6 linked regions of the Oryctolagus cuniculus genome follow. The protein of the gene in region 6 interacts with the protein of the main gene of each other region in a biochemical or structural test. Links are inferred from orthologs where the notes say so. Each region holds a gene or a part of one and is shown on either strand. Other genes may lie near its edges. The genes, in order: SREBF2, CREBBP, NR0B2, MED1, NCOA6 and HNF4A.

Region 1 (4,641 bases), about 100 Mb from region 6:
AGGCGGACCCTGCCGGAAGCTTCCCTAGGGCAGGAAACAGATGCTCATGTTGACAGACCTTCCACAGCAAACTTCTTACTCACTCTACACAGCCGGAGTGACGGCGTTCCCAGAGGAGGGGGTTTTGTGGACAGGCCTGGACAGGGTGCTGGGCACTGTGGCTTCCTGCTGTGTGCACCTGTCCACCTCCCAGGGTGGCTGAGGACATGGCACCCGGCTCTGTGTCACGGGGCTGTCCACATTACTGCACACCGTTTTTTATGCAGTGTCAACAGTATGGCCACATTCTGCTCATACCATCCCAAGTCCCCCGCCAAATTCAGCAGCAGTAACAAACAAAAACCGACTGGGTTTGTTTGTACTTAAAATCCCCAGTTTAGAAGCACACATTTCTTTGAGGGGAGAAGAAATGTAAGACAGCAATGACAGATGCTGGACAGTAGGTGGACGGCCAGGGCACACTCACTACACACTCCCCTGGTGACATAGAAGTCCGGGGACGAGGTGGCCTCGCACAGCCCAAGGGCCCGCCACAGCTCTCCCGAGACTGCATGGCGTCACCTGCTTTGGTCCTCAGCACAGGGCTGGGAGGTGGCACAGGCCAGCGCCAAGGTCCAGCAGCGGCCAGCCGGGGCTCTGGCATCACCCAGGAGGCCCTGTCTCCCTGGTCTTCTCAGCGGCACAGGAGACCTCTGTGCCAGGCTCTGTTCCTACCGGCTGCTGCCTCCCGGCAGGAAAGCAGGGCAGAGGGAATGTGGACCCGTGTTCAGTCCTCTCGGTCCCCGGTGCCTCGCACAGGTTCTGGACCACAAGTGCTGAGAGCTGTGCAGCTTCCCAGCTGGGAGTCTACAGAGCCGGACAGCCGGGAGGCAGAGGCCTGGTGTGGGCCCGTCCTGCCCGCGGGCACACGAAGGCCCGGAGCAGAACAACACAGAAGGCAGCATCTCTCCTGAGGCTCTACACGGGCACAGGTGCTGACGCCGCACGCCGGCTCCACCGCCTCATCTCCTCGGGGCCTGGTTCTGCCCCACTTCCGGCTGAAGCCCCTGGCGGTCAGCAGGCATTTCCAGCCTCCCTGGGACCACTCCTGGCCCTCGTCAGACTTCTCAGCAGCAACCTCCCTCCTCAACCCTCTCGGCCCTCGTCCTTCCAACCCCGGGCATTTGGGGTCTCCTCGGACCTCTCCCACTGCCCCCCACCCCTGGCAGCCTTCACCCCGCCTCCGCGGCCTCTGCCCGCCCCCTGTGTGCGGGTGTCCTCCGGCAGCCCCGGGCAGCTCCCTCGGCTGTCACTCTCACCTGCAGGCCCGAGCCACGCTCTGTCCCGGCGGCAGAGCCAGCACGTCACTGCCTACTGACTTCCCCTCCCATCTCATGGCAGGAGTCCAAACTGGAGTTCCTCGCCTCTTCCCCGGGAACAGCGCTTTCTCCTGCTTTCTTTGCTTCTGTCGTTAGCATTACTGTTCCCCAGTACCCCAGCAAGAGGCCAGGAGCCACGGTAGCCACTCCCCTTCCTTGCCAGGCACATCCACAGTCCAGTCAAGTCCCCCTTGTACCGTCCCTCCGTCAGTCCTCCCAGCGTCTCTCACGTTCAGTCTGGCCGCCCCGACTGCACCCTGCCCCCCACGGGGCCACTTTCCAGCTGTCCCAGAGCGAGCCATCTAAAGGTGAGATGCACCACACAAATCACCCTCCTTCCACCCTCGCCGAGACACTGGCACCGGGATCCTTCGTGGTCCAGGCACCGCGCCAACCTCTGGGACAGGCTCCGCCCGGCAGGCCCACCTCCTGCAAAGTTAGCCACCTCCACACTTCCTCCCACAAAGCCAGGAAGTTTCTTGAACGCTCGGCCTTCCCAGGGACAGCAGGCTCCCGTGCCGAGTCTAACGTACTCAGCACACTGTCACTCACTCGCTGACCGCTCTGCCCTTCCATGAGCTTGGGAGCTTCCTGAATGAAATAAATGATCCTACTTCACTGAACTTAAAATGCCATCAATGTTAAGTCTCACCATTACTCTAAGAATCACTACAGGTAAACCGCCAACGTCACTGTTTATGGGACACCTCCCGTGGGCACCTTACAACCCACAAACCACGGGACTGTGGCTGGACCACCCGCTCTGAAAGATGACAGAGCAGTCAGAGCTTGGGTGGAGACCCGGCAAGCCACCCTGAGGGGCACTCAAGCCAGGAAGGCAGCCTGCCCCACCTGTGATGTGCAGCTGGTGCAGCCTGTGGTAGGCCAGGGCTGCGTCCCGGGCGCTGGTCTTGGCTTCGTCCTCGAAGCCGGCTGCGGTGGCCGGGGGGGCTCGCCGGCGCTGGAAGACCCTCTTGAGCAGCCAGCGCACCAGGCGCAGCTTCTGCAGGCTGTAGCGGATCACGTTCCAGGACAGGCTGCAGGCCAGGTCCAGGCGGGAGGTGGGCAGCGCCCGGCCCAGAACCGACAGGCAGGTCTGTAGGTTGGCGGCGGCAGCTGCGAAATCCCCCTACAAAGCAGCAAGGGGGCTGGGTGTGAGGGTCCTGGTCTGGCTGCAAGACTTCCACGCTCCTCTGCTTCACGGCTACAGAATCCATAACCAGTGAGGAGCATCTGGGGAAGTCCAGGAAGTCACGACAAAGTGGAACCGGCTCTCAGCTCTCCCCAGGGAAGTCCTGCTGATACCCAAGGGACTGCCTCCCGCCTTCCCGCCAACCGGGGCGCTCTGTGAGCAAACGCAGGGGACGTCCGCACGAAGACGGACACAGGAACCCGGACGGCCTGCTCTGCAGGGCCGTGGCCTCTCGGGGCAGTCCCTGGAGTCCTGAGAGAGAAATGCAGACGCGTGGCCCCATCCAGACCCAGTCACAACCCTCGGGGGCGGGGCCTGCGGGGTGAGTCTCATGTCTGCCACATTGGAGACCACGGTTTCAGACCAAACCACAGCTAACCTTTGCTGCCCTGATGGATCTAAGGGGGAGTCTACGGTGCTGCACTGCAGACCCCGCCGGCCACCCCTTAGACTGGGAGGCCGAAGCCCCAGGCCCACTATTTGGTCTTGGGAAACGCAGCACAGTCTCCCCTCCTTACCCCCGACATGAGCTGGTATGGCCCGTGCTTTGCGTCTCCTATGGTTATGGGAGTAGATGAGGGACAGTGGCTGGAGGTGCCCTCCGAGTGACCACCTCTAAGGTGGCAGCAGAACCGACATGGACAGACTGCACGCACCTGCACCCGCCTGTGGACACTGCTGTCCAGGAAACAGCCCCCAGGTCTCATGTACATTTAGGACCCACAGCCCTGGCCACGGCTGACGGACACAGACTGGCCAATGAGGTTCTCAACTGACAGCTGTCGCCTGCACAGGGCAGAGCGGGCGTGTGGCTGGCCGCAGGGAACGTGCCGCCTGCTGCCCTCCTGGGATGTGACTGCTTAGCTCCTCCTCCGGTGCCCTGGGTCGCCCTGGACTCTTCTGCACAGGCTGCCCTGTGTTGACTTCCAGCTCATTTTCTTGTTCCAAAACCTTCCCTGGCTCTCAGAGCACTGGGAATAAAGCCCGAATCAGTTACTAGTGAGGTCCCTCCAACGTGGGCCGCACACCGGCCGCTGTCCCCCACACCCCGGACCCGTCCACCACACAGCCCTTGAGGGCTACGGGCCGGGGAAGGCCATGGATTCACGTGGTCTGGTCCAGGCGAGGCAAGCGCAGGTGGGACTGGAAATTCAATACATCTACAGCAGGCTGATGTCTGAGCTCAAAGTTTTGTATAGTTCCCAGATGATGCTACGAATACCCAGATGGCCCTTAGCACAAACTACGGTCCCCAGCCCTGGCTTGGAAGGCCCTCCTGCCACGCCCACCTTTCTGCCTGCCCCAAGCGCTCTGCCAAGCCTCAGATCCCCCCGTTGAGAAGGCGGCTGCACTGCCTCCACCCGCCACGGCACCTGATTCCTCCCATGGCACAGCACGGATGGGAGATCACCCACCGTCCACCCCTGCCAGGAGCAGGGCCCCTGCCATCTGTACCACAGCCCTTCCCACAGGACCCACCCACACCGGACTCCACACAGGTTGCCGAGTTCTTAGGGAGCCTGTGGAGGAAGCTGAGGGTGGACAGCACTCACCCTGGAGAGGTCCAGGTCCGCCTGCCTCCGGTGCCTCCAAAAGGTGACGGAGGAGCGCGAGTGTGGCCGGATCACCGGCTCCCCGTGGACCAGCAGCTTCACGAAGACGCTCAGGACGATGACCCCATTGACCAGCCACAGCAGCAGCGTCGGCATCACCCAGTCAAGCCAGCCTGTGGGACCTGGGCGTGGCGGGGTGGGGGTGCACTCAGCAAGGGCCCCACGGACCCCGGAGTGAATGCCAGAGCCTCTGCCCCACGGCGGCCCATGGTCTACACGGCACTCCTGTAGCCCTGTCACCGCCACACTGAGCTCCACACGCATCTCTGCTAGCCCCAGAGGATCAGGACGCTGGCTTTCCAACTCAGCCGAGACGCACCACCCCTCCCCCTGCAGACAGGCACACTCCCCCTCCCCCGCCCCCTCCCAGGAACTCCTGCATGGCAGGTTCCTCATTTTTCTGTCCTCTCCACCTGAACGTGCGTCTGCCTTTTACTTCTAAAACGGGACTTGGGCAGTCCCTGTAGGCAGCAAGCAG
Region 2 (4,237 bases), on a different chromosome or scaffold from region 6:
CTTCCCTTCGCGGGGGTGGGGTGCACACGGGGACTGGTCAGGGCTGGCTGTTAGCTGGTGACTTTACTCTTACCTGGCCTCATCTACATTATTAAAACTCAAGTTTCAAAACTGTGTAACTAAAACTAGATTGCACCTTAGTTTCCTCAGGCTGATTCTCAAGTTAGGTATTCAAGTATTTTTGAAAATCTGTGACCAGAATGGCCAAATGGAGGTTACCTGCGCCGTGATTTCTCAACACCACAGCACCTCCCCGCCCCACTCAGGCCAGCCTTTGGCTGGAGGACAAGGGACAGAGCAGACAGTCCTCCCGAGTGTGTGTTGGAGGTGGGGGGGCAGAAGCAGAGGCTCGGCCCACGTCTGCTGCCAGCTGTCCCCCCCAAAGCACGGACCTGTCCAGTGCTGAGTGAACTCAGGTCACTGGACCCCTCCGGGAGCGTGCGTGTGCAGGGACATCTTCCAAGCAGGGCTGGGAGCCAGTGCTCAGGACCCTGCCCCTCGGCAGCCGCAGGACAGCGCAGGGGCCCTCAGTCCTGGTGGCACGTGGGACAGTCTGCCTGGCACCATCCTCACTGCTGAGTGCAGTTTCAGGGGGAGACAGGAACCACCCCAGGTCCCCGGGGCACCCTTGGCATCCGTAACAGGCGCTGTGGCTAGAAAGGCAGGAAGCCCTTGCACGGGGGCAGCTGGCTAAGAAGGGAGGGGAGACGGGGACGAGAGCTGGAAGCACAGTGCTGTTCACAGCCGCGGCGCAGGGCTGCGGGGCGCCGTCCCCAGGCGGCCGCTCAGACCGGGCGGGCTTCCCCACCACCCACCCCCACCCCCAGACTGCAGGCTCCGCCTCTCCACTCCGAGTGAACGATCAGAACCATGTCTTACAAAGAACAGACTCCAAAAATATATATAAATAAATAAAACCTTCAACATTCTTACAGGGATCTTAAAAGAACAGAATACATGTTAAAAACTTCAGTAATTTATATCAATTTTAAGCGATACTTTATATACAATGGGGAAAAAACACATGCATAGTCCAAATACAACGTTGAAAACAGCATTTTCATAACAAAAAAGCCCCGAACACTAAGTGTTAATACCATGTACATGAATTCAAGAAGGACCACCCTTTTTGTCTGTTGCACACAGTTTATTTAACAATATGATATAAGAAATGAGTTGGTTCTTTACCATTCTATACAGTGATTGAATCTTCTCGAGTTTTCTTATTTATAGTAATTATAGCGCTTGCATGATTTACACTAGAATTGCTTTTCCTCATTTCAAGTTTCACATAGAAGAAAGAAAAGAATGCTTCTTCTCTATTAACATCAGCATGGTCTAAGAGAGTGATCATCCCTATTTTTTGTCTAAAACCAGTTTTATCAGAGAAACAAAGCAACAATTTCTACATCTGCAAGACAAGAGTTTGGCTTAAGCCAGCACGTATAGATAGATGTGTGTGTGGGTGTGTGTACGTGTGTGCACACCGGAGTCAGTTCCTATTGTCCAGGGGTAATACTTGGAGACGCCCACAGAGTTCACTATAGAAAAAAAATCTTCCCGCAACATCAGAAAGTTACCGGGATACATTATAAGCTTGCATTATTTCAGGAATCAGTTTCTGAATATTATTTTTCTTCTCACTTTTAAACATAAATGTTTAAAGTCTTGAAAATACAAATAAAAAATATGAATATAATGAGCTTGTTTTTCCCGTTAAAAAAAGGCATGAATCACCAGCAATGACAAAAAGAATCCAAACCAACCCCCCTCCCCCAAAAACAAAAAGGAAAAAAACAACAACAAAAATAAAACAAAAACAAAAAAATAAAACCAAAGAGAGAGAAAGAGAGAGAGAGAGAGAGAGAGAGACCAGATATTTAAATCAACTGGTTTTTAACAAAAAAATATATTCTTTGTATTGTTTCTTTAAACATCAATCCACCCTTCCATGGCTTGGAAGCAGCAGTTCCGTCTAGGAATAAAAAGGCCCTAGACGCCTGGATTTTCAGTACAAAAGTCCAGGGGCACGAACGGGAGCAAACGCAATGCTCTCATAATGCTACAAACCCTCCACAAATTTTTCTAGCGTATCCCCTGTGGTGTCACCGACCAGGGACAGTTCGCTGGACAGTGTGCTCCTACTGGGGGTGTTCAGCTGGGGGAGCATTGCACTCTGTTCAGGGTTCCCCAAGTGTCCCTGATCTATGGAGCTGGCCATGGTGACTGCGAGTCCGGGATGGGGGGAACCAGTCTGGGGCGAGACGTGGTGTGGCGAAGGCTGGGGCTGTATCCGCGGTGACGGGCTGGAATGTGGAGGCTGGGACTGGGGCCGCGGAGACTGCACAGGGGCTGGAGACCGCACCTGGTTGCTGAGGGACGTGGCGATCTGCTGGCCGGGGAGGTGGGAGGCCTGCGGCTGTCCTGAGAGCAGGTGTTGCTGGGGGCTCATGGGGTTCGGCTGGCCTGGGGACCCCATCTGCTGCTTCATCTGCTGCTGCTGCAGAATCCGCTGCTGCAAAGCCTGCTGGATGCTGGGGGTGCCGTCCGCCCCCAGCCCCGGCTGTCCCATCTGGCCGAGCTGTCCCATCTGAGCGGCCATCTGGCCCATGGAGCTGCCCTGGATGGGGAGGTGCGGCTGCATGCGCTGCTGCTGCATGGCGGGGGCGTAGCCGCCAGGTCCCTGCGGCTGCTGGAACTGGCCGTGCCCAGCCATGCCCCCGGCCACGCCCCCGGCCACGCCCCCGCCGCCCTGCTGCTGCTGCTGCTGCTGCTGCTGCTGCTGCTGCTGCAGTAGCTGCCGCCTCAGCATCTCCCGGTACTGAGGATTCATGCTCGCCACGCTGGGGCTGTGTCCTGGGTTCATGATGTTCAAGGCCTGGCCCGGGGCGTTCAGGCCTCCCATTGCCTGCTGCTGGGGGGGCACCCCAGGCCGAGGCACGCCCGCTTGCATGGCGTTCAGGTTTTGCAGGCCGGGCTGCTGGTGCATGCCGGGCTGGGCCTGCAGGCCGGGCTGGGGCTGCAGGCCGGGCTGGTTGGCCACATACTTGGCTGTGCGCTGTTTGATGAAAGCTGCCATTAGCTGCGGGTTGGACTTGAGGATGTTCAGCACCTGCTGCTGCTGCTGCGGGGAGCTGGGTGATTTCAGGGTCCGCAGGAGGTCTTGCAGGGCGCTGGGCGAGATGCTCCTGGGTGGCGGGACGCTGGGCATCCTGGGCCCAGCCACGGCTGCCTGGGCCTGCATGGACATCACAGGCCTGGGCATGCCTGGCATTGGCTGCTGCGGGGGGAGGGGCGCCTGCTGCCACTGTCCAGGCGGCATGCCGGGCATGCCAGGCCCGCTGACCTGGCTGGGCCGTGGCACATTCAGGCCCACAGGGGCCATCTGGCTCCCGGGGGTCCCCAGGCCCGTGCGCCCGGGGGGCATGCCGCTGTTGATGTTCACACGGTAGAGGTGCTGCTGCTGCTGGGCCTCTCGCTCAATCTGCCGGGCAGCCTCCACCGCCGCGGGTGGGGGCTGGGCAGGGGGCGGGGCAGCCGGCACCTGGTTGGTGGGCTTCCCTGCGGACACAGTCGTGGGGGGCTGAGTCCGGGCCACACTGGGGAAGCCGGCTGGTGACATGCTCACGGGTGAAGGCTGGGGCTGGGCAGGGGGCTGCGGCGTCTGGGGCGTGCCGGGCTGCTGCGTGGGGGTCCCGGGCGGAGCTGAGGTAGGAGAAGGCAAACTCTGCTGAGGCACGTTGCGGGTGTTCATGGTGGCCATCCGCCGGCGCATGAGCTGGGCCTGCTGCAGCCGGTGCTGGATCTGCTGCTGGCGAAGCTTGTGTTTGATGTTGAGGCAGAAGGGCACGGGGCACTTGTTCTCCTGGCAGTGCTTGGCGTGGTAGCAGCACAGGGCGATGAGCTGCTTGCACACCGGGCAGCCGCCGTTGGTCTTCCGCTTGCAGCCCTTGGTGTGCTGCACCACCCGCTTCATCTTCTGGCAGGACGGCAGCGAGCAGTTGGCGTTGCGGCACTGGCAGGCGTGCACCAGGGACTGGATGCAGCGCTGGATGCTCAGGCGCCGCGACTCCTGGGGGCTCTTGGACTGCGGCTCGCCCTGGCTGCTGCCCTCGTCGTCCAGGCCCAGCCCCCACTTCACCATCTTGTGCGTGTGGCTCTTCGTGTTGTAGCAGTTGATGCACAGGTCATAGTCCTGCAAGCAAAGAGAGTGGTCAGCAAGGCCGCCCCCTCGGGC
Region 3 (5,122 bases), on a different chromosome or scaffold from region 6:
CAGCCGTAACAGCCATTTTGGGGGTGAACCAACAGAAGGAAGACCTTTCTCTCTGTCTCTCTCTGTCTAACTATGACTGTCAAAAAAAAAAAAAAAGAATAAAAAATTTGAAGACTGGTATTGTGGCACAGTGGGTTAAGCTGTCACCTGCAACCCTGGTATCCTATACCCAGTGCTGGTTCAAGTCCTGGCTGCTCCACTTCCTATCTATCTCCCTGCTAATGCACCTAGGAAAGCAGCAGAAGATAGCCCAAGTACTTGGGGTCCTTGCCATCAGTGTGGGAGACCTGGTTGGAATTCCAGGCTCCTGGCTTCTGCCTGACCCAGCTCCAGCCATTGGGGCCATTTGGGTAGTGAACCAGCAGATGGAAAATCTCTAAATAATAAATAAATAAATAAATAAATAAATAAATAAATAAATAAATATTTTAAAAAGACACTTTTTGATCAACCATGCAAGAGGAAAGATAAAATCACTTCTCTATTCTCACTGTAGAAAATAGTTTTTTAAAAATGATTGCCAGCCCCCCCCCCCCCGATCATGGGGTTATTCTCTAAGAGATTGATCCAGAGCTCTCTGATGAACTGGTTGATTCCAGGGACTGGGGAGGTTGATATCAGAAAACAAAGGAAGGTTCCAAGAATGCTGAGAGCAGATCAGGAGGGGGCTATCAAAGGCCAAATCTGTGACAATCTGGGCATCAAAATAGATAATGAAGGGAGGGTGTTGTGGCACAGGGCGTTAAACCACCACTTAGGACACCTGCATCCCGTATCAGAGTGCCTGGTTTAAGTCCTGGCACACTTCCAATTCAAGTCCCTGCTGAGGTCCCTGGGAAGCAGAGGATGATGGCAGGTGGCTGGCCAGGGTGGGCTGGGCAAGGTCTAGAGACCTCCTCACTCTCTCTCTCTCTAGCCCCATTGGCTACCGTCTGAGACGGATGTCAGGATGGAGGAGCCGTGTGGAAGTAGAGCGCCGTTTCTGTCCCAATCACAAGCAGGCCTGGCCCCACTCTGGGGGACTCAGGCCCTGGCTGCACAGTTGAGCCGGTGCGTCCCGAGGAAGGAGCCAGGACTTTAGGGTCAGGCAGCTCAGGGTCCCATTCCTTCCTGGAGGGATGGCTTTGGACACGTCACGTCACCCCTTTGGGTCTCACAAAGGAAGAATCCGGAGTCAACACTAGCTCTCAATATTGGATCGGAAGAGGCCTGGCCCCCAGCAAGTGCTCAATACAGGCAGCTGTGGTTTGTGCTCATTCTGGAAGGACTTTTCCGCAGCCATGACCTTTCAGGAGCTCTAGGTATCCAAAACTGGGACAGGGGAGTCTGCAGCATTGGGTTTCTGCAGGGCCCCCAGAACTGGAGTCAAAGGAGGGGCCACACAGCACAGTGGGCAAAGTCCTCCCAACCCCCCCACCAGGGTCCTGGCTCCCTTCCCCACAGCCTGTTTCTTACCAACAACACGAGCAGGGCCCCAAGGTTAGGCAAACAAGCTAGTGATAAGGCACTTCCAGGCTGGGCCTCGCACTCAAGGCTCGTCCAGCTCCAGAGCTGGCTTCCAGGCTTAGCAAGAGCACTGGCCTTGTGCACACGCAGGAGCAGGCACCTTTAGGGACACCAGCCACAGCCACATGCTGATTGTGCACCGGAGGCCTTGGTGCCCTGGTACAGCCTGGGTTAATGACCCTGTTTATCCACTTGAGTCATCCGATAAGAAGCAACCGGTCAGCAGGCAGGTGGCCCTGTGCCCCGCACTGGCTACTTCATTGACTGAAGTGATATCAGCGCCACGTGGAGCTCCTAACGGCCCCGCCCTCGCCACTTCCCCATCAGTCCTGCCAGGGTCAGTGTGCGTGTGCGTGTGTGTGTGTGTGTGTGTTTCAATGAACATGACTCCTGGAGTCAAGGTTGCTGGCCCATTCCTCCCTCCTGCCCACTGGGGATATAAATAGCGCTCGCAGCACAGCACAGAGGGCAGAGAGCAGGGAGGCAGTAGGAGTGGAGCCGTGACCATGAGCTCCAGCCAACCAGGGGCCTGCCCGTGCCAGGCCGCCGCAGGCCGCCCGACCATTCTGTATGCACTGCTGAGCCCCAGTCTCAGGGCCAGGCCCTCTCTCCCTCCATCACGCAGCCACTGCCTGTGCAGGGAGCATCGGCCCGTCCGGCTCTGCAGCCCTCATCGCACCTGCCGGGAGGCCCTGGACGTTCTGGCCAAAACAGTGGCCTTCCTCCGGAACCTTCCGTCCTTCGGCCGCCTGCCGCCCGAGGATCAGCGGCGGCTGCTGCGTGGCGGCTGGGGCTCCCTCTTTCTGCTGGGTTTGGCCCAAGACATGGTGACCTTCGAGGTGGCTGAAGCCCCTGTGCCCAGCATACTCAAGAAGATCCTGCTGGAGGAGCCCAGCTGTGGGGCCAGCAGTGGCCAGCTCCCCGACAGGCCGCAGCCCTCGCTGGCTGCCGTGCAATGGCTGCAGTGCTGCCTGGAGTCCTTCTGGAGCCTGGAGCTGGGCCCCAAGGAATACGCCTACCTGAAAGGAACCATCCTCTTCAACCCTGGTGAGCTTCCAGACACTTCTGGGTGGAGCTGGGAGGGGGCACGGGGCACCCTCCGAGGGCTCAGTATCTATTATACTACTGGGTCCCACAGGGCCATCTCACACGAGGGGCTGAGTGGCTAGCAGGTGGGAGCAGAGCAGGCGTGAGAACTCGGGCCGGGCCGGGCCCCCTGACCCTTTGAGGGGAGGGCGGCTGACACAGCCGCGTCTCAGCACGCTCTCAAGGGCAGGTGGCGTGGCGAAGCTTTGAAGGCTAAACTCCCGTGTGGGGTCAGAAAGTTCCCATGGCGGGGGGGATGGGGTGGGGTGGGGTGGAGAATGAAGGAGGTGCGGGGGAGGCAACTCAGCGGGGAGGGCTACAGATAGAGATGGAGATGGTGTCCTTTGTAATCTGGGGGCAGCTGAGGAAAGCGTGCCATGCCAGAAGGTCCTTGTGCCCACTGACTGCCCTCCCCGCAGCAGAACCTCATGGTGTGGTTACCATACGGACCTTTAGATGCGCTAACTCCTTTAACCCTCACGGCAAGTCTTGGAGACAGGTGCGGTCATTATCATCTCCACTATACAGATAAAGAAACTGAGGCACAGAGATTAAGCACCCTGCCCAAGGTCACTCAGTCATCAATGATGGTGCCAGAAATCCAATCCAGGCAGCCCGGTCCTTAACCCTTACCTTATATGGCCTCGCTGTCGATGGATAGATAAATAAAGTGATAAAGAAATCGATGGAGGAGGTAGTAGCGGAGCCTTGAAGGCTGAGCCGACGAGGCAGGTGATGCCTGCTGGTGGCGGGGAGAGGGTGCTTACCAGACCTGTCCGTCCTCTCTGCTCACAGGCGTGCCAGGCCTCCAGGCCACCTCCCATATCGGGCACTTGCAACAGGAGGCCCACTGGGCGCTGCGTGAAGCCCTGGAGCCCTGGTGCTCAGCAGGCCAAGGCCGCTTGGCCCGAGTCCTTCTCACGGCCTCCACCCTCAAGTCCATTCCGGCCGGTCTGCTCGGGGACCTCTTCTTCCGCCCCATCATTGGAGACCTGGACATCGCCGGCCTCCTGGAAGACATGCTCCTGCTGAGGTGACATGCTGTGGCCCAGGCAGGGGTCAGCCATAGCCTGTGCAGACGCTGGCCATGCCACTTCAGCCTGCCTGTCCCCAGGGGTGCCCCGCTGCTCCTGCACAGCCCCTCTCTCAGCCACCTCCGGACTGGGACTTCCTTGGCATGGACGTGGCGCTCCAGCTGTCTGGCAGGCCCTCTGTGGTCTCCAGAGGCTCTGCGCCCAGACTCCTGTCCCCTCCTGCTGATGGCAAAGGACTGAAGCTGCTCTTTGGGCCGGGGGAGTCCTGCTGGCTTTGTACAGAACTGAATTTAAGTTATTGGTTTTTGTAATAAAAGGTGTGACACTCTCCGAGCCTGCCACTGTGTTTTGGGCACACGACAGGGACTGTCTCACCTCCAGGGCCCACCTGCTCCTATCAGAGGAGGGCAGGGGTCGTAAGGGGCACAGGAGCCAGGCCTCAGGAAACGGGGGTGTGAGTTGTTCTGGCTGGGATGGCGATTTCATCTCTGAGATGAGATTCATTTTGCATGTGGGGGAGTTCTCAGCACACAATGTCACCTCCTTGCCTTTATCCTTGGAGCGAGAAGGCTCTTCTCCCTGTCCCACGCCTTCCACTAACCCGTCTCTCAGCGCCCGAGCCCTGCAGACTCCCTCTCTCCTCAGTGAAAGTTGGATCAGAGCCGGTCAGGAAGCAGCCTGTTCCCAAATTGAAACAGACCAGGTGACTGCAATGTCTGCAGCTTGGGACCCGTCACTTGGCCCATTCCTGCAGCTGGTAGCACAGGGGGGTCCATTATTTCCCAACAGGAGAGGGCAATGGCACCCGGGGCTGGCCTGGCAGCTACTTGGAGGCCAGGGCAGGCCAAGGTTCCGCTGGCTCACGATGGTGTGGCCTCATCTGTTGTTGGAGTCTGAAACACTTCCGCAACAGTTGGTTCAGGGCCACCACCTGTAGCTCCCTGAGTGCCCTCGCACCGCCCCTCTCCCATTATCTGTTAACCCAAGAGCCAACGCGTGCCATAGCCATGGCCTCTGCACTGCTTCATTCAGAGCCGGGCTTGGGGCTGTTCCGATCAGCCAGTGTCTGTGCCTCATCGTTCGTTAAATATTTGAACCCACTCTCCCCGGGGTCAGGGTGACTGACCTGAAGGGTGGACAGGAGGGAGCGATGACAACACCCTCGCCCGCGGGACTTCCAGGCCTCCTTTCCCCAGCAATGAGGCTGCCAGGCCCCGCCCCCATCACCACCACAGTTTGGATTCTTCTCACGGGGGCTGTTAATTATTGCCCAGTGAGAGGTCATTCACTTGGGGACAGCAGCCTGGGGGGTCATCATCCAGGCCTTTCTCTAGGGCCTCCTGCTGGGACCACAGCCGAAGTTGCCTGTAGGGGTGCCCAGTGCCAGCAGCAAGCAGCAGCACCCCGTCCCTTACCCAGCACCCCACATACACACACACACAAGTCAGGCACCAGAAAGACACAGAAGCACAGAGCTCCAACCACACAACCAAGAC
Region 4 (5,123 bases), on a different chromosome or scaffold from region 6:
GTTTCCTGGTTCTTGCCTGGCCCAGAGCAGCTGTTGTCACTTTGGCTTTCAAATAAATAAAATAATAAAAAAAAAGATTTGGTTAAAGTTTGAAATGATGCAACACAGGACCTCAAATCAGGGATCAGAAAGTCTTGCCTTTCTTGCCTAAAGGGAAAAAACTTTACTTAATTATTTGAGAGGCAGACAGAGAGAGCTCCCATCTGCTGGTTCACTCCCCAAATGCATGAAATGGCTTGGGCAAAGCCAGTAGCCAGGAATTCAATCAGGGTGGTGGTAGGGACCCAAGTACTTGAGCTATTATCTGCTGCCTCCCAGGGTGTGCATTAGCAGGAAACTGGATTATAAGTAGAGCCAGGACTCAAAACCAGGTACTCTGATATGATATGTGTGCATCCCTGGGCATCTCTTAACCACTGCACCGAACACCTGCCTGGAAAATATGCTGTTAATCCCAACTCAAGTGGAGCACTGTTAGTCTGCTTTCAAGGAACCAAGTACTCTGACGTTAGGATGCAAATGCCCACTTTGGAACAAACATTTAACTTAGATTTGAATGAGAGCTGAAAGGGTTGGATAAAGGGGAGGCTTCCCAGCAGTTAGAAAGGCCTGTAGAAGGACCTTGGGAGGAATGCAGGAATTCTCCTCCAAATGAGGGAAAGTCAGTATGCTGGGGATTGGGACAGGCAGAAAAGCTGGATCTAGACAGGCTTGGTAAGCCAGTAAGATTGGCTACCAGGCCTAGGTACAGTGCTAGGGAGTGATGATTCAGTAACACGGGGCCATTTCTGCCCCTACGAAATTCACTATGTATAATATGACTCCAAAGAATGACGATAAGAGGAAAAAAACAATAAAAGTGTAATCCTATTTTCAAGGGAATGTTATAATTACCTTTGTGGCAGTAAAGAAACAAGTTGCCAGGTTATTTTTTTTTTTTTTTATCAAATTTATACTGCTGTGCCTACTCAGTTGAATTGCAGTTATTTGCTGAGATGGCTCTGGATATGTGAATGCTATTTTTTAAATGTGGAAAAAATCTGAGACTACAGTCAGTAGAAATTCATTGCTTAAGCAGAAGATGGCCCAAGTCCTTGGGCCCCTGCACCCGTGGAGGGGGGGGGAGGGCAGCAGGGGGACTTGGAAGAAGCTTCAGGTTCCTGCTTTGGATTGGCTAGGTCCAGCAGTTGTGGACATTTGGGGAGTGAACCAGCAGATGGGAGACCTCTCTCTCTGCTTCTGTAACTCTACCTTTCAAATAAATAAATCTTAAAAATAAAAAAGAAATTCATTGCTTAATATTCTTGCAGAAAACTAGGTAAGATCCTACTTTCCAGCCGCATTTTTGAAGGATGTATATGAGAAAATTCTTTTTAAAAGTAGCCTTTAAGCTCCAGTGGCCATGCACTTGCCAGCATTGCTATGGATTTCTCTTCATGAGGATTTATTGACACAAGAGAGAAGACTACACACTGTGATCTGCAGTGGAGATACAAGCTAAACTGCATGTTTCCACCAAGACACAGTGATAACATGCACTTGCTGCTGAGAACAAGTTTATTTTAATCCAAAGCACTTCAGATTTTCAAAACTGCTGCAACTGCTCAAGAAATATTCCTGAAACTTAAAAAATATTAGAAAATGGTAATTAAGTGTCCTAGGCAGCCTTCAAATGTCGTGTTACAAAGAGCCAGTGTTTTTATGACAGTTTTACTGCATCTAGCATATAAGGGAAACTCTACTGTATTTGATAAAACATTTCAGATACCAGTATTCTTTGAAAATCTAGCCTGTAAAAAAAAAGGGGTTCTGTGGGTTTAGTTTCCAAACTAACGGCTAAAATGAAAATGCAAGTTTTCGTACAACAACCGAACTCTACCTGCTCGCAAGTTCAGAACGAAGTACCCAAGAGCTAAGAGACAGCCGGATTTGGAAGAAATCTCGCGGAAGTACGTCATTCACCTCTCGCGAGACTTCAGTATCCCGTCGCTTCCTTTCTCGCGCAGGATCACGGTTTATCTCGCGAGCTTTAGGAAGTTCCGTTGGGGAAGATGGCGGCGGCCGCAGGCACCCTTCTCTTCTTGCCACCGGGGACTTCAGACTGAGCCTTCCCGGGAAGAGTAGGGACTGTTGGTGCCCTGCGTCCCGGGAGCCCGAACTAACGTGGCTCTCCCATTAGTGGAAGGAACGGGCTTCTCCTCTTGTGGCGGACCCAGGCCCTGCCCGTCGTCAGGATGAAGGCTCAGGGGGAAACCGAGGGTGAGTGACAGTGGGGGAAAGGAGGGGGCGGGACTCAACTGGGGGCAGCCAATCTGGGCGAGGAGGTGGGGGCCGATGCCCCGTGGGGGCCGCTTTCGCGGGGGCACTGAGTCCAGGATGCGGGATGTGTGTGTCTTAGATGCTCATCATGCCTTCCTTGATGGTGATAGAGCGCTGACTTAGGGTGGTGGGGGCTCCCAACTTGGGTGAAGATTTCCTTTTTATATAGAGACAGTACCTGGGGCTTCTGGGCACTTTTAGCCTAAAGTGGTGGAAGATCAGGCGAGTGAATATATTAGCTGTTTGCAACTCATTCCGGAAGAGACCATTGAATAATGGCCTAAAAACAGCCATACGGAACCGTGTATCTAAAAGTACTGGAGAGTATTTTGATGTGAATGATGTGATTTGGTCCTGAGGATACAAAATGCCTGCACTTCCTAAAAGTCACAGTGTTCCCATCGGTGGCCGGACTGATTTAGAACTGTTGAAAACGACTTTTTCTATGGAAATTTTTACTCCGATTCTCTGGAGTTCCACACTGCACTTTCAATCACAGCTTACTTTATTATCATTGTTCATCCTTCCAGTTTGTTCTGAGCTTTGTAGATCAGGGGGCTGCCCTATTCATTTTTTTTTTTTTTAAAGATGTATTTATTTGAAAGGCAGAGTTACAGAGAGAGAAAAATCTTCTACCTGCTGGTTCACTCCCCAAATGACCGCAATAGTTGGAGCTGGGCTAGGCCGAAGCCAGGAGCCTCCCCAGCGTCTCCCATATGCGTGCAGGGGGCCACTCTCTGAGGCCATCCTCCGCAGCTGTCCCAGGTGCACCATCAGGGAGCTGGATTGGAAGCGGAGCAGCTGGGCCTTGAACCTTTGCCCATATGAGTTGTCAGCATCCCAGGTGGTGACTTCACCCGCGATACTACAACACCGGCTCCCTTATTCATCTCTGTATAATCTCTGGCACATAGTAGTTGCTCAGAAAATGTTTGATTTGAGTTTCAGACTAAGGACGTTTTACAGAATGCTTCTCAAGAAAAAAAAGGGGTGTGATTTGAAGGAGAAGAAATGTGTGTCCCTTGGGTGTAAAGTGGAAACACCATCAGGCAGGAGTTTTGTATGGTTTGCTTACTACTGTGTCTGCAGCACATACAATTGTGCTTGAATGAATGGCTTGATAGTGGGAAATAGGAATGTGCCCAGAGCAATCAGCTGGCTGAAGCAGCCTACAAACCAGTTTTCCAGAAGATGAAGGCGTGAAGGAAGGAGTCTGAGTCTTGACTGAGATCATCTTGCTGCCTTAACTCTGACCTTCTATTTATTTTTCAGTGCCAGTGTCAACAGTCTGTTTTTTTTTTTTAATGTCTCCATATTGATTATGTACTTTTCCTTCTTTGCTATTCAGTAGTAATGTCTCTGCTTTTAAGAGCATTTCTTTTTGCACCAATGGTAATTCCCATGTTAACTTGATCACACTGCCTCACAGATGTCACCTCAGGCATATCTTGTTATTATTATTATTATTATTATTATTATTTTTAACAGGCAGAGTGGACAGAGAGAGAGAGGTCTTCCTTTTGCCGTTGGCTCACCCTGCAATGGCCGCCGCAGCTGGCACGCTGCGGCCGGCGCATTGCGCTGATCCGAAGCCAGGAGCCAGGTGCTTTACCTGGTCTCCCATGCGGGTGTAGGGCTCAAGGACTTGGGCCATCCTCCAATGCACTCCCGGGCCACAGCAGAGAGCTGGCCTGGAAGAGGGGCAACCGGGACAGAATCCGGCGCCCCAACCGGGACTAGAACCCGGTGTGCTGGCGCCGCAAGGCGGAGGATTAGCCTATTGAGCCATGGCGCCGGCCCTCCTCAGGCATATCTTGTGTTCCTTTCCAGTGGCCCCAGCACAGGTCTTCGCTCATACATGGCAGTTCAAGAACTAGGGGAGGCTCGAAGGGTTTAAGAGGTTCATTCATATTCTTAGTTCAGGAGCTGATCCTTTCTGCCTTTCTCTTAACCTCTGTTGGAAATTCATCTTTTGGTTATTGATTTCTTCCCTGTCCATATAATTTTAGCTATATGGAAAAATATGAAACATCAGATAGGCAATTAGGGTCTGTTTTCTTGATCATACTTATCAACCAATCTCTTAAAATTATGGCCAAAAATTAAGGAAGTATTTTCACATTGAAAATCAGCTAACCATTGTAAGACCATGTTCAAATGTATGCTCTCTATAAATATTATACAGAAATTTCAGGCATGTTATGAAAATGACTGTCACTAAGTTGTAGGCATGGTCGTGAATCATGATTAGACTCGGTTCCTTTTTGGGTTCCCATTAAAACCTTGAATGGAATGTCCTATGGTGTTCCTTTTATCAGACCCATAAGGTATGTGTCTTCTCACCTTTAAAAATATTTTCTTTATGTGGTTTGAAGAAATTATATCGAAAAGTAGTTTAGCCAATTCTTAGATTCGGCTGTGTGGGGGTTTCTTTTCCAAGAAAAACGAGGTCTTGATAAAGGAGTTTCTAATGATGTTTTCTGATTTATGTCGTAGAGTCGGAAAAGCTGAGTAAGATGAGTTCTCTCTTGGAACGGCTTCATGCAAAATTTAACCAAAATAGACCTTGGAGTGAAACCATTAAGCTTGTGCGGCAAGTCATGGTGAGGATTGTGGCAAGTGGGTAAAGTGTTATACTTAGATAATAAGTAAGCTCCCTGTGTCCAAATTAGCTACAATAGTGTCTTCAGATTTATTTATCATAAAACACTGGAATATATTGGAGCTTTTCAGGGACCTACCTAGGAAGGAGCTATCCATTCATCCTGGTTATCTAAGGGGGATTGTTCCAAGATCCCCCGTGG
Region 5 (4,641 bases), about 8.7 Mb from region 6:
AACATATCCATTCCCAAAGAACCAGAGTATTGACATCTTTTACTTTGTTAGTAATCCCACTCCTACCTGCACCTTTCTTTACCACCTCCAGCTTTTCTTTCCTTGGCCCTCATTTCAGTCACCTATTTTTATTTTGAAATTTTTATTTTTAAAAAACCTATTTGAAAGGCAGGGGGAGAGCAAGAACAAGAGACTGATGTCTTCCACCCTCTGGTTCATTCCCCAGATGACCTCAATAACTGAAGTTAGGAGGTCAGGAGACAGGAACTCAATCCAGATCTCCCACATGGGTGACAAGAATCCAACTACTTGCTGCTTCCCAAGGTGTGCATTAGCAGGAAGCTGGAATTAGGAGTAGAGCTGGAACTTTAACCCAGAAATTCCATATGGGATGCCTGCCCCTGGTCACCCACTTTTAGAAAGTATTTTGTCTCATTATATTCTGTGTAGTTTCACAAGCCACATAGATTCTATCTTAAAAGCCTTAGCAGGGTTGGGTGTTTGGCCTCGTAGTTAAGATGTCCATGGTTCATACTGGAGTGCCTCCAGTTTTCTGCTAATGGATACCCTAGAAGGCAGTGGTGATGGCCCAAATAATCAGGTTCCTGCCACTCACTAAGAGACCTAGACTGACTTCCCAGCATCCAGTTTTGAACTGTTGCAGGCATCTGGGGAAATGAACCAGTGGATGGGAGCTCTCTCTCTCTGCTAAAGTAATAAATGAATTCTCAGCATATAGAAATTTAGAACCTGAATCAGGTCCCTACACATTCAGATCCTTACAATAATCTGCTTCTTCATATATCTTCTCTCATTTCCAATTATAGTAATTCTATAACCTTTACTTTCAGAGAATTATATAGCTAAAAAATTCCAGATATCTGGTCCCACCCCTTTCAAGCTATGGTTGATAAAACAAAAAGCCCAGAAAGCTGTGAGAGACAAGCCAAAGGTTCTACAGTGTGCTAGTGATAGATGTGGGAGCAGGCAGAAAAATTAGATAATTAAAGGGCTTAGTTAGTCTGAATTCATGAAAATATAGGTTGTTGGGCCGGCACTGTGGCGCAGCAGGTTAATGCCCTGGCCTGAAGCGCTGGCATCCCATACGGGCACTGGTTCGAGGCCTGGCTGCTCCACTTCTGGTCTAGCTCTCTGTTGTAGCCTGGGAGAGCAGTGAAGGATGGCCCAGGGCCTTTGGGCCCCTGCACCCACTTGGGAGACCCAGAGGAGGCTCCTGGCTCCTGGCTTTAGATCGGCGCAGTTCCTGCCATTGCAGCCAATTGGGGAGTGAACCGGCAGATGGAAGACCTCTCTTTTTTTCTCTCTCTCTGCCTCTCCTCTCTCTGTGTAACTCTGACTTTCGAATCAATAAATAAATCTTAAAAAAGAAAATATAGGTTGTTAACATACAACAAATGGCTTTTAATATATAAGATTCAAGAAGCAGAGCATAACCACAAACGTCTGGGAAGGCTGGTATAAAGGCAGTTGGTGTTATTTGAACATCTAAGCTTGTTTAAATAAAGATGCCCTGTTCTTTTTCTACAGTTACAGAAATTTGTTTAATCAGTTTTGCATTCAGTAGTCACTAGTTTCTATTAATAAATATCTGAATTCCAGTCTTATAATTAAAGGCAGAAAATTCAACTCAATCAATATTCCTTCTGGAGACATTTTATCAAAGCCAGAAACATGACTTAAATAATACTTAGTTTCAGGAAATGAAATATAAATTGTTAATTGCCCTTCCTGCTGTGATCTTGTAGAACTCACTGGAGAACCATTACTGAAGGAGTAACTGATTTAAAAGGTCCTCTTGGCCGGGGGTCTTAAGCTTCTAGGAAAGATAAATGGCATTTTTTTTTTTTTTTTTTATAAACGGCCTTTAAAGGGAAGGCACTGTGTAAAACAGCATTTCTATTTGAGAGACAGTGCAGAGTCTCCAAAAGCAGTTTTCATTTTCAAAGCACATTTGGCCTTTCTGGTTCCCATTATAGGCCTGTGTTTCGGGAAGCTGCACTGAAGTAGCACTGGTTAGCCACAACCACGCTGAGACAGCAGAATTTAGAAAAAGAAATATTAGTTTTCTAGGTGTACAAATGGTATTGTGTGATTGATCACACAAAAAAGCCTGTCCTTATCTCTTAAGACATACACACTTAACCATTCACAACATGAATATGCTTTAAAATAATCAAGAAAGCAATGGGAAAGAACACAGATGAGGGCACAAAAAGTGATGAGTTGATAACTGTTGATGCAGGGAGATCTCATTATACTGATTTTACGTCTAAAAATTTTCATCAGAGTTGTCACAAACAGAAGAGGACAAAGTTAACTTTGTCACAACCTACTTTAGATCCTGCTGACTATTCTTCTTCTTCCGAGGGGGTTTCTTCTTCTTCGGTTTATTCACGTTGGTATTATTTTGCTTATTGTTTACCCCAAAATGGCCTGCAGAGATGTCACTCTGCAATAAGTTGACCAATAATGGGCTTGTTAGTGTGACATCCTTATTGACTGGGAAGCCTGGATTCTGACCACAGGACATCTGATTTCCATTAGGTGCTCCACTGAAAGGTGCATTGAAAGGCATCCCATGGCCTGAGAAGTGGTTTCCTGGGGCACTGTTTCCCTGCATGGCCTGTACGTGGGGGGGGACCATGTTGGTCTGTTGCATGCTAACATCAGGCATCATCTGAGGCAAGCTGACATCATTATTTGCTGTAGTGGCAGGATCACCATGCTGCTGGGCCATGTGTGGGCTGGGCCCTGGAGGCCGCAGGACCTGCCCCTGAATCCCCATAACCTGAGATGGACTGTTGTTCACAGGCCCTTGCTGGGGCAGCATCTGTCCTGACATCTGTCCCGTAAACTGCACCATGTTTCCTTGCATGTTTGGAGTTGGTCCCCTCATAATTTGCGCTGGTCCCGGCATGACACTGGATTGGTTCTGAGTGTTAAACTGCTGCTTATTCCCCTGCATCTGATTGGTCATGATCTGCTCTATCATTGGGTTCTGTTGGAGCAAAACTTGCCCCTGAGGCCCCATCATCTGGTTATGTGATGCCATCATTTGTGGGCCCTGCTGGGAAAGCATCTGCTTGGGTGGAGTCATCCTCTGGGGTGAGGGTCCAAGATTTTGGTTCTGAGGGTTCACCATCATCTGGCCCTGTGGCATAAGCTGGGCCCTTGAAAGAATCATAGGGTTCTGAGGGTTCAAAGTTCCTTGTTGCTGGACCATCTGGCCCTGGGAGGGCACAATCTGCTGGTGCATGCCCATCAGCTGAGATGGTGGGCCTTGTTGGGGCTGGCCTTGAATATTGCCCAGGTTCACCTGAGGAACCCCAGAACTGCCAGCCTGCTGGTTGGTCATGTTGCCATGAATTCCCATAAGGCTGGGCTGCATCATATTTGGTGGCCCATGGGACACCTGCATCTGGTTTTGAGGAGGACCAGCTCCTTGACCACCTTTAAAAAAAGAAAAGAAACAGTTTCAGAAAGAAATATGATGGTATTGATATTAAGATACTCAAATTACTTTACTCTGGAAGATATCCAATAGTCATATATCCACTGACCAATATAAATGTGATTTTTGACATACTTTCTGTGAGCTTCCTAGAGAAGTGACTCCAGAAAATTATTTACATTCTCAATGATCATACATCAGAGAAGGATAAACAAGTTCTTAATTCCTGTGTGGTAACTTAAAGGTAATATTTTAAAAAGCACTAAAGTTTATTTTCTTTCACATTAAATAAAGGCAGCATCTCATTGTTTTAGCTTGACTTACAGCTACTGAAAGTGAAAAAAATTAACAAAAAGCACTTTAAGCTAGTGAAATAAGTTCTGCATAAATGACCAGGGAAACAAAGAATGTGCCATGTCATTTTAGGAAAACAGTACTGAGAAGACACTTAAAAATGCTTCTTAGAAAACTAATAATGAATTTCAAAGGTAGGGTGCAATATCTGGATGCTGTACTTCAATGAACATCAAATAATTCCTAAGGACTAAGTAAAAAAAAAATTACTTAATCCTGATCTGGAAGCTGAGCCTCTGGTGGTTGTCTACTGACTAGAAACCCACCTGGAAGCTGCAAACAGAAGGCTGTTAAAACACATGGGGCTGGTGCTATGGCACAGCAGGTTAAGCTGCCACCTGCAATGCTGACACCCCATATTAGAGTGCTGGTTTGAGTCCCAGCTGCTCCACTTCTGGTCCAGCTTCCTGCTAATGCACCTGGGAAGGCAGCCGAAGATGGCCCAAGTGCTTGAGCCCCTTTGACCCATGTGGGAGACCTGGATGGAGTTCCAGGCTCCTGGCTTTGGTCTGGATCAGACCCGGCTGTTAAGGACATTGGGAAGTGAACCAGTGGATGGAAGACCTCTCTTCCTGTCTCTTCCATCTCTCTCTGTCACTCTGCTTGTGAAAAAATAAAGGAATCATTCAAAAAATTCAGTGACCCTCCCTGTGGCAGTCCTTGGTGGATTACAGGGGATACATTCTATTTTTTCAGGTATTTCTAATTTAGACAAAAGGTACTGCCTACCTTGCTTCAGTGCTTATCTATTGTTGAGTCTTTGGGGTTTTGCTATAGCTACTTGCATTATCTCCCCCCATTTAATGTTTATTTGA
Region 6 (4,641 bases):
CGGGACCTGAGGACATTCACAGCCACGGGAAGACAGGGGTCGGCCCGGCGCCACCAGCGCACTTCCACAGTTGCTTGATGGCGACTTCACAATTCTCGCTCAGGGCAGATCACAGGAAAGTCGGGAAAGCGATGGCTTGGGCAGCACAAGAAACTGAGGAACACTCGTTTCTGATCGCGTCCACACTCACGGGAGCCGAGTGGATTCTAGAAGCTTCTGGGGGCTTCCTGAAGGGGGTGTCTTGGTGGAGGGATTAATGTGCCCATGCTTACACCCCCACCCCCCCACCAGGTTTTATGTGTTAGGACCACTACGCAGGCAGGAAAAATCTCCAGTGTGGTGTCTTCCACTTGGAACGAGACAGTAAACGTTTCGTTTCCTGCCTGGCAATAAAGCTCGCAAAGGGAAATGGACTTCTCTGGAAAGGGTGGGGTGGGAGCACAGGCCCATTGAAGGCTGCCGTGCAGCCCACTCCGCCCCCTGGGAAATTCTCAGCCGTGTTCCGAGACTGCAGCCAGGAGGTGGAGAGCCCGAGAGTGGGGTGACCAGAGTGAGCAGTGGGTTCCCCGCCTCCCTGGCGGGACGCAGGCCAGTCTGAGCCAGTTGGCTACGACTCCTGGGGCGCTGGAGTGAGCGAGGGTGGCTGAGGCAGGCCTGCGACTCTGAGCCGGGAGCAGCAAACATCTGCTGGGACCAGAGTCTGGCTCGGTGGAGCGGGGGAGGCCGCTCCTGACCACTCTGGGGGTGTGGATTCCTCTTCAGCCTAGGGCCCAGTGCCTCTCTGTGCCTCTTTGGTGAACAGTAACAGTGGTGAACGGTGGGCCCTCGCACGCTGCCCCGTAAGCTAGGAAGGGGCACCCCTGGGCGAGAGAACCTGAGAATTCGATGTCCTATGTCATCACACTTCCGGCTTCAGGACACATCCCTGTTATCCCACCAGCCAGTGGCAGTTTCTAGACTCCCCAGAGCCACCAGGATTCTGTATGAATGAAGTGCCATCTGCTCCGCGCCAGGGCTGGATGCTCCCAGGATGCTCCGTGGATGACACAGACCCCACAGCATCCCTCAGACCCAGGCCATCTCACCTCGGCCCTGTCACTCATTCAAACTCTCCCACCCACAGGCGGCCGGGCCATAGGGGCCTGTCCTGCTGGAACCGGATCCCTGCTGCCTGCCCTGACTTGGGGGAGAGACAGCAAAGGGGCGAGGAGCCGGGAATTCCCCTTCCTACTTAGCAGCAAACAGGATTCTGGTCCCTACGTGAGTGTAAGTGCGGCATGAAGCCAATCTTCGTGCTGGGGGTGGGCGGAGCTCCTGAGAAGAGTGAGCTTTTGGTTTCTGAGGCTGGTGAAGGTATCAAGAAGTCAGCTCCACCCTCAGCTCAACCACGGTGGGGACAGAGGGGCCTCTGAGCGCTCCTGTTCGATCAAGGGGGACCAAGTTCAAGTCCTGACTCAGCCACCTACTTACAGTGTAAGCCTCCCCCCCCCCAATAAAGATCACTTAACCTCTTAAGGGTTCATCTTCTGCAATCATGGTTAGCCAACAGGGAGAACGCAATGAGCTGATGCCTGCCAACTGCCTAGGACGGTGCCTAGGAGCAAGGAGACAGTCCTGGGAGACGCTCCCGCCTCGTAGCCCACCCAAGGACTCCCCCACCCCTTCCTCCGCGTCTACAAGCCTCATCGCTCTCACCGGCATTGCATCCTGACCCTGCCTGAGTTCCCTGCTTTCTCCCAACCTTCTAACCTCCACAGGACGGCCATGTTCGTCTTCTGAAATCCCAGCTCGGTGCACAGCCCTGACGACTCCTGGCCTCAGACCGACACTCAAGGCCCCCTGCTCCCCTGCTTGCCCTGTGGACTCGAGAGAGCCTGTTCCGCTCATAGCACCATTCTTCCTGCCTCAGGGGCCAGGCCTTCACCCAGGCTGCTCTCCCTTGGGATACCCCGTCTCACCTGCGCTACCGTTCAGAGCCCTCCCCTCCCTCAAAGGCCTGGTCCTAGTTTCCAAGACAGTCTCCACCCCCCCCACCCAGGTCTCCCCCTGAGGTCCTGTTGCAGCTGTCAGCCTGCGATTGTTCTCTTATTCTGGACCGCCTACAGTGGTCACCCCTCCAAACATCCACCCCAGCCCAGGGAAGGGAAGCGCCCGTGCAGTTGGAAGAGGAGAAGGGTGTGTTTCCTGTGCTCTGCCGAGTCCCAGCCAGTGCTTCTGGAATGTTCCTGAGATGACTTGGGAATTGGTGCTGAGTCTTGCAGAGAGGTGGCTTTGGGGAAGACAGGATGGCTGAGGCCGGTGATAGTGGAGGGTGGAGAGGGCATCTGGGGTTGGGGCAGCAGAAGGGGGAGGGACGAGGTGCTGCCATCTGACAGGGCTCTGCTTCTGGATGCCACGACCACACTGGGAGAGCAGAGATGCCGGTGGAGGAGGCGGGAGCAGCGCTGGAGCAAGGTCCCATAGTGTCCCGGACAGCCGACCTTTGGGGGTGAAGAAGCTGGGGGAGGTGTGGATGAAGGCGAAGGCAGTGGCTTCAACATGGAAAAGTTGTCCAAGGCAGCAGAGGACTCTCCAGCTAAGGGCTCCCCAAGTCAAAGCCCCACCATCCAGGGCTCGGGTGCTAAAGGGTGGCAATGGGCTGTGGCCCTCAGCCCACACTCTTGGGCCCTTTGCCTTTTCCCTTACTGCTCTGGGACTGGCCCTGCTGTCATGCCTCCCTTTGATGTGACCAGGTGATCACCAGGCACTCTCTGAGGGGGCTGGGGGGAGCCAGCAGAGCCCCCGACCCCCGGCCGCTTGCTAGATGACTTCTTGCTTGGTGATGGTTGGCTGGGGGATGGCAGAGGGAGGCTTGACGATTGTGGCGATGGCCCCCGGCAGGAGCTTGTAGGGCTCGGACCCTGAGCCACCTGGTGGTGAGGGCTGTGGAGTCTCAGGGGTGGCTGGAGGGACAAAGAGACAGAGATCGCTCAAGATCCCAGCCTGTGCTGAGCAAATAAACTCTGAGACTTAGTCTCCTCTTCTATAAGTTGAGAACATTAAGCTAGCTAATACTTAAATTAACATAATGAGACCCAAGGCTCACTGGCTTTAAAAATACCACTTCTTTGATATTTAGGAGATGAGCAACAGAAACTAACTGGCTTCATCTCCACTGCAGGTTTAGAGCAAACTCTAACCAAATTGGCCAACTTCATTCACTGGACAATTTTACCCCAAGAACAACCTCGGTGAAATGCCATCTCATCTCAGGGGCTTCCTCTTTCCACTGCTAATCTTATTTTTTGACAGGCTTTCAACAATGATGAACTCATTCTTGGGAGAGTTCACCTCTAACCCAGTGGACATCCCTGTGCGGTGCACTGTCTCCCACCGTGTAATGGATGGCCTTCCACAGCCGGGCAGCTTCACTTCGATGGACAGTTGTCACGAGTGGACTGTGTTACTAATGGAATTCTCTCCAGTAACTATCATCAGCCAGTGGATGATGAAGTGCCATTAATTATTATTCATTATTATTAATTATGTATAATTAATGAGCAGACTGCCTCTCCCCATGATTCCTACCCAATCCGCTCACCCGGTGGATGGCTTCACTCAGTGGAGGTTGTCAGTCACCTCACTGAATAACCCAACAGCCAATCAGCCTCGCCCTTCCCTACTTGGAGCACAGAGGTCTGCTGTATCCAGTGCCGCCTTCTAGCCTTAACCCTCTCCTCTTAGGACCCATCCTCACCCATCCCAAGGGAGAGCCTAGGTTGCCCACCTGCCTGCCCCCTTGGCCGGGGCCACTCACACATCTGTCCATTGCTGAGGTGAGTGGGCATCGTGTTGGCCACAATGACGTTGGTGCCCATGTGTTCCTGCATCAGGTGAGGGTGCAGGGGGTGGTGGGCGTGGGGTGCATCACTGGAGGACCCTGTAGGCAGAAAAGGAAGAAATCAGGGTACAGTGTCTCAGCTGGGACCAACTGGAGGCCCCAAGCACCCCCATCTTCTTCAGGTGTGGCTCATCACCTGTCCATCCAACGTCTTGAGTACCCATTCCTGGGTTAGTAAACTTGGGCTTCATGGGGCATGGAGAGGACCCCAAAATCAAGAGGGCAAAAGTGATTTGAAAGAAACAAGGAAAGGGGGCTGGTGCAGTGGCACAGCAGGTTAAAGCCCCAGCCTGCAGCGCTGGCATCCCATATGGGCACGGGTTCAAGTCCTGGCTGCTCCACTTCTGATCCAGCTCCCTGCTGATGTGCCTGGGAAGGCAGTGGAGGATGGTCCAGGTCCTTGGGCCCTGCACCCATGTGGGAGACCCGGAAGAAGCTCCTGGCTTCAGACTGGCTCAGCTCTAGCCATTGTGGCCATTTGGGAAGTGAACCAGTGGATGGAGGACCTCTCTCTCCGTCTCTACCTCTCTCTGTAACTCTTTCAAATAAATAAAATAAAATAAATAGATAAAAAGAGACCTCTAAAGTCCAGCTGTTTCTGTGATAACCAATAATTAATGAGCACCTATCACATGCCTAGGACTTCTTTTTATTGTACTTTTCATGTTTTACATAATCCAATCCTCACAAAAATCCTGCAAAGTGGGCACCATTATTGCCCTGTTCTTTAACAGGTGAGCTAACAAGCAAAGGGAGATGAG

Evidence for each region.
Region 1: the proteins of HNF4A (region 6) and SREBF2 form a complex in vitro, tested with the Homo sapiens proteins (2 studies listed by BioGRID and IntAct). The link is inferred for Oryctolagus cuniculus from reciprocal best matches to the Homo sapiens genes HNF4A and SREBF2.
Region 2: the proteins of HNF4A (region 6) and CREBBP form a complex in vitro, tested with the Homo sapiens proteins (4 studies listed by BioGRID, with this or other methods). The link is inferred for Oryctolagus cuniculus from reciprocal best matches to the Homo sapiens genes HNF4A and CREBBP.
Region 3: the proteins of HNF4A (region 6) and NR0B2 form a complex in vitro, tested with the Homo sapiens proteins (4 studies listed by BioGRID). The link is inferred for Oryctolagus cuniculus from reciprocal best matches to the Homo sapiens genes HNF4A and NR0B2.
Region 4: the proteins of HNF4A (region 6) and MED1 form a complex in vitro, tested with the Homo sapiens proteins (2 studies listed by BioGRID). The link is inferred for Oryctolagus cuniculus from reciprocal best matches to the Homo sapiens genes HNF4A and MED1.
Region 5: the proteins of HNF4A (region 6) and NCOA6 form a complex in vitro, tested with the Homo sapiens proteins (2 studies listed by BioGRID). The link is inferred for Oryctolagus cuniculus from reciprocal best matches to the Homo sapiens genes HNF4A and NCOA6.

The regions. Positions count from the first base shown.
Region 1 is NC_091442.1:117,806,989-117,811,629, reverse strand, and holds part of SREBF2 (sterol regulatory element-binding protein 2), read right to left. Parts: intron 4,286-4,641; coding exon 4,104-4,285; intron 2,488-4,103; coding exon 2,211-2,487; intron 25-2,210; coding exon 1-24.
Region 2 is NC_091450.1:31,799,325-31,803,561, reverse strand, and holds the end of CREBBP (CREB-binding protein), read right to left. Parts: intron 4,196-4,237; coding exon 2,063-4,195; 3' UTR 961-2,062; downstream 1-960. UniProt on the Homo sapiens protein: Acetylates histones, giving a specific tag for transcriptional activation. Mediates acetylation of histone H3 at 'Lys-18' and 'Lys-27' (H3K18ac and H3K27ac, respectively).
Region 3 is NC_091438.1:144,600,142-144,605,263, forward strand, and holds NR0B2 (nuclear receptor subfamily 0 group B member 2), read left to right. Parts: upstream 1-1,738; 5' UTR 1,739-2,012; coding exon 2,013-2,553; intron 2,554-3,387; coding exon 3,388-3,629; 3' UTR 3,630-3,954; downstream 3,955-5,122. UniProt on the Homo sapiens protein: Transcriptional regulator that acts as a negative regulator of receptor-dependent signaling pathways. Specifically inhibits transactivation of the nuclear receptor with which it interacts.
Region 4 is NC_091448.1:22,905,221-22,910,343, forward strand, and holds the start of MED1 (mediator of RNA polymerase II transcription subunit 1), read left to right. Parts: upstream 1-2,012; 5' UTR 2,013-2,234; coding exon 2,235-2,259; intron 2,260-4,815; coding exon 4,816-4,922; intron 4,923-5,123. UniProt on the Homo sapiens protein: Component of the Mediator complex, a coactivator involved in the regulated transcription of nearly all RNA polymerase II-dependent genes.
Region 5 is NC_091442.1:23,351,036-23,355,676, reverse strand, and holds part of NCOA6 (nuclear receptor coactivator 6), read right to left. Parts: intron 3,472-4,641; coding exon 2,355-3,471; intron 1-2,354. UniProt on the Homo sapiens protein: Nuclear receptor coactivator that directly binds nuclear receptors and stimulates the transcriptional activities in a hormone-dependent fashion. Coactivates expression in an agonist- and AF2-dependent manner.
Region 6 is NC_091442.1:14,692,328-14,696,968, forward strand, and holds part of HNF4A (hepatocyte nuclear factor 4-alpha), read right to left. Parts: intron 3,920-4,641; coding exon 3,767-3,919; intron 2,943-3,766; coding exon 2,800-2,942; 3' UTR 1-2,799. UniProt on the Homo sapiens protein: Transcriptional regulator which controls the expression of hepatic genes during the transition of endodermal cells to hepatic progenitor cells, facilitating the recruitment of RNA pol II to the promoters of target genes. Activates the transcription of CYP2C38.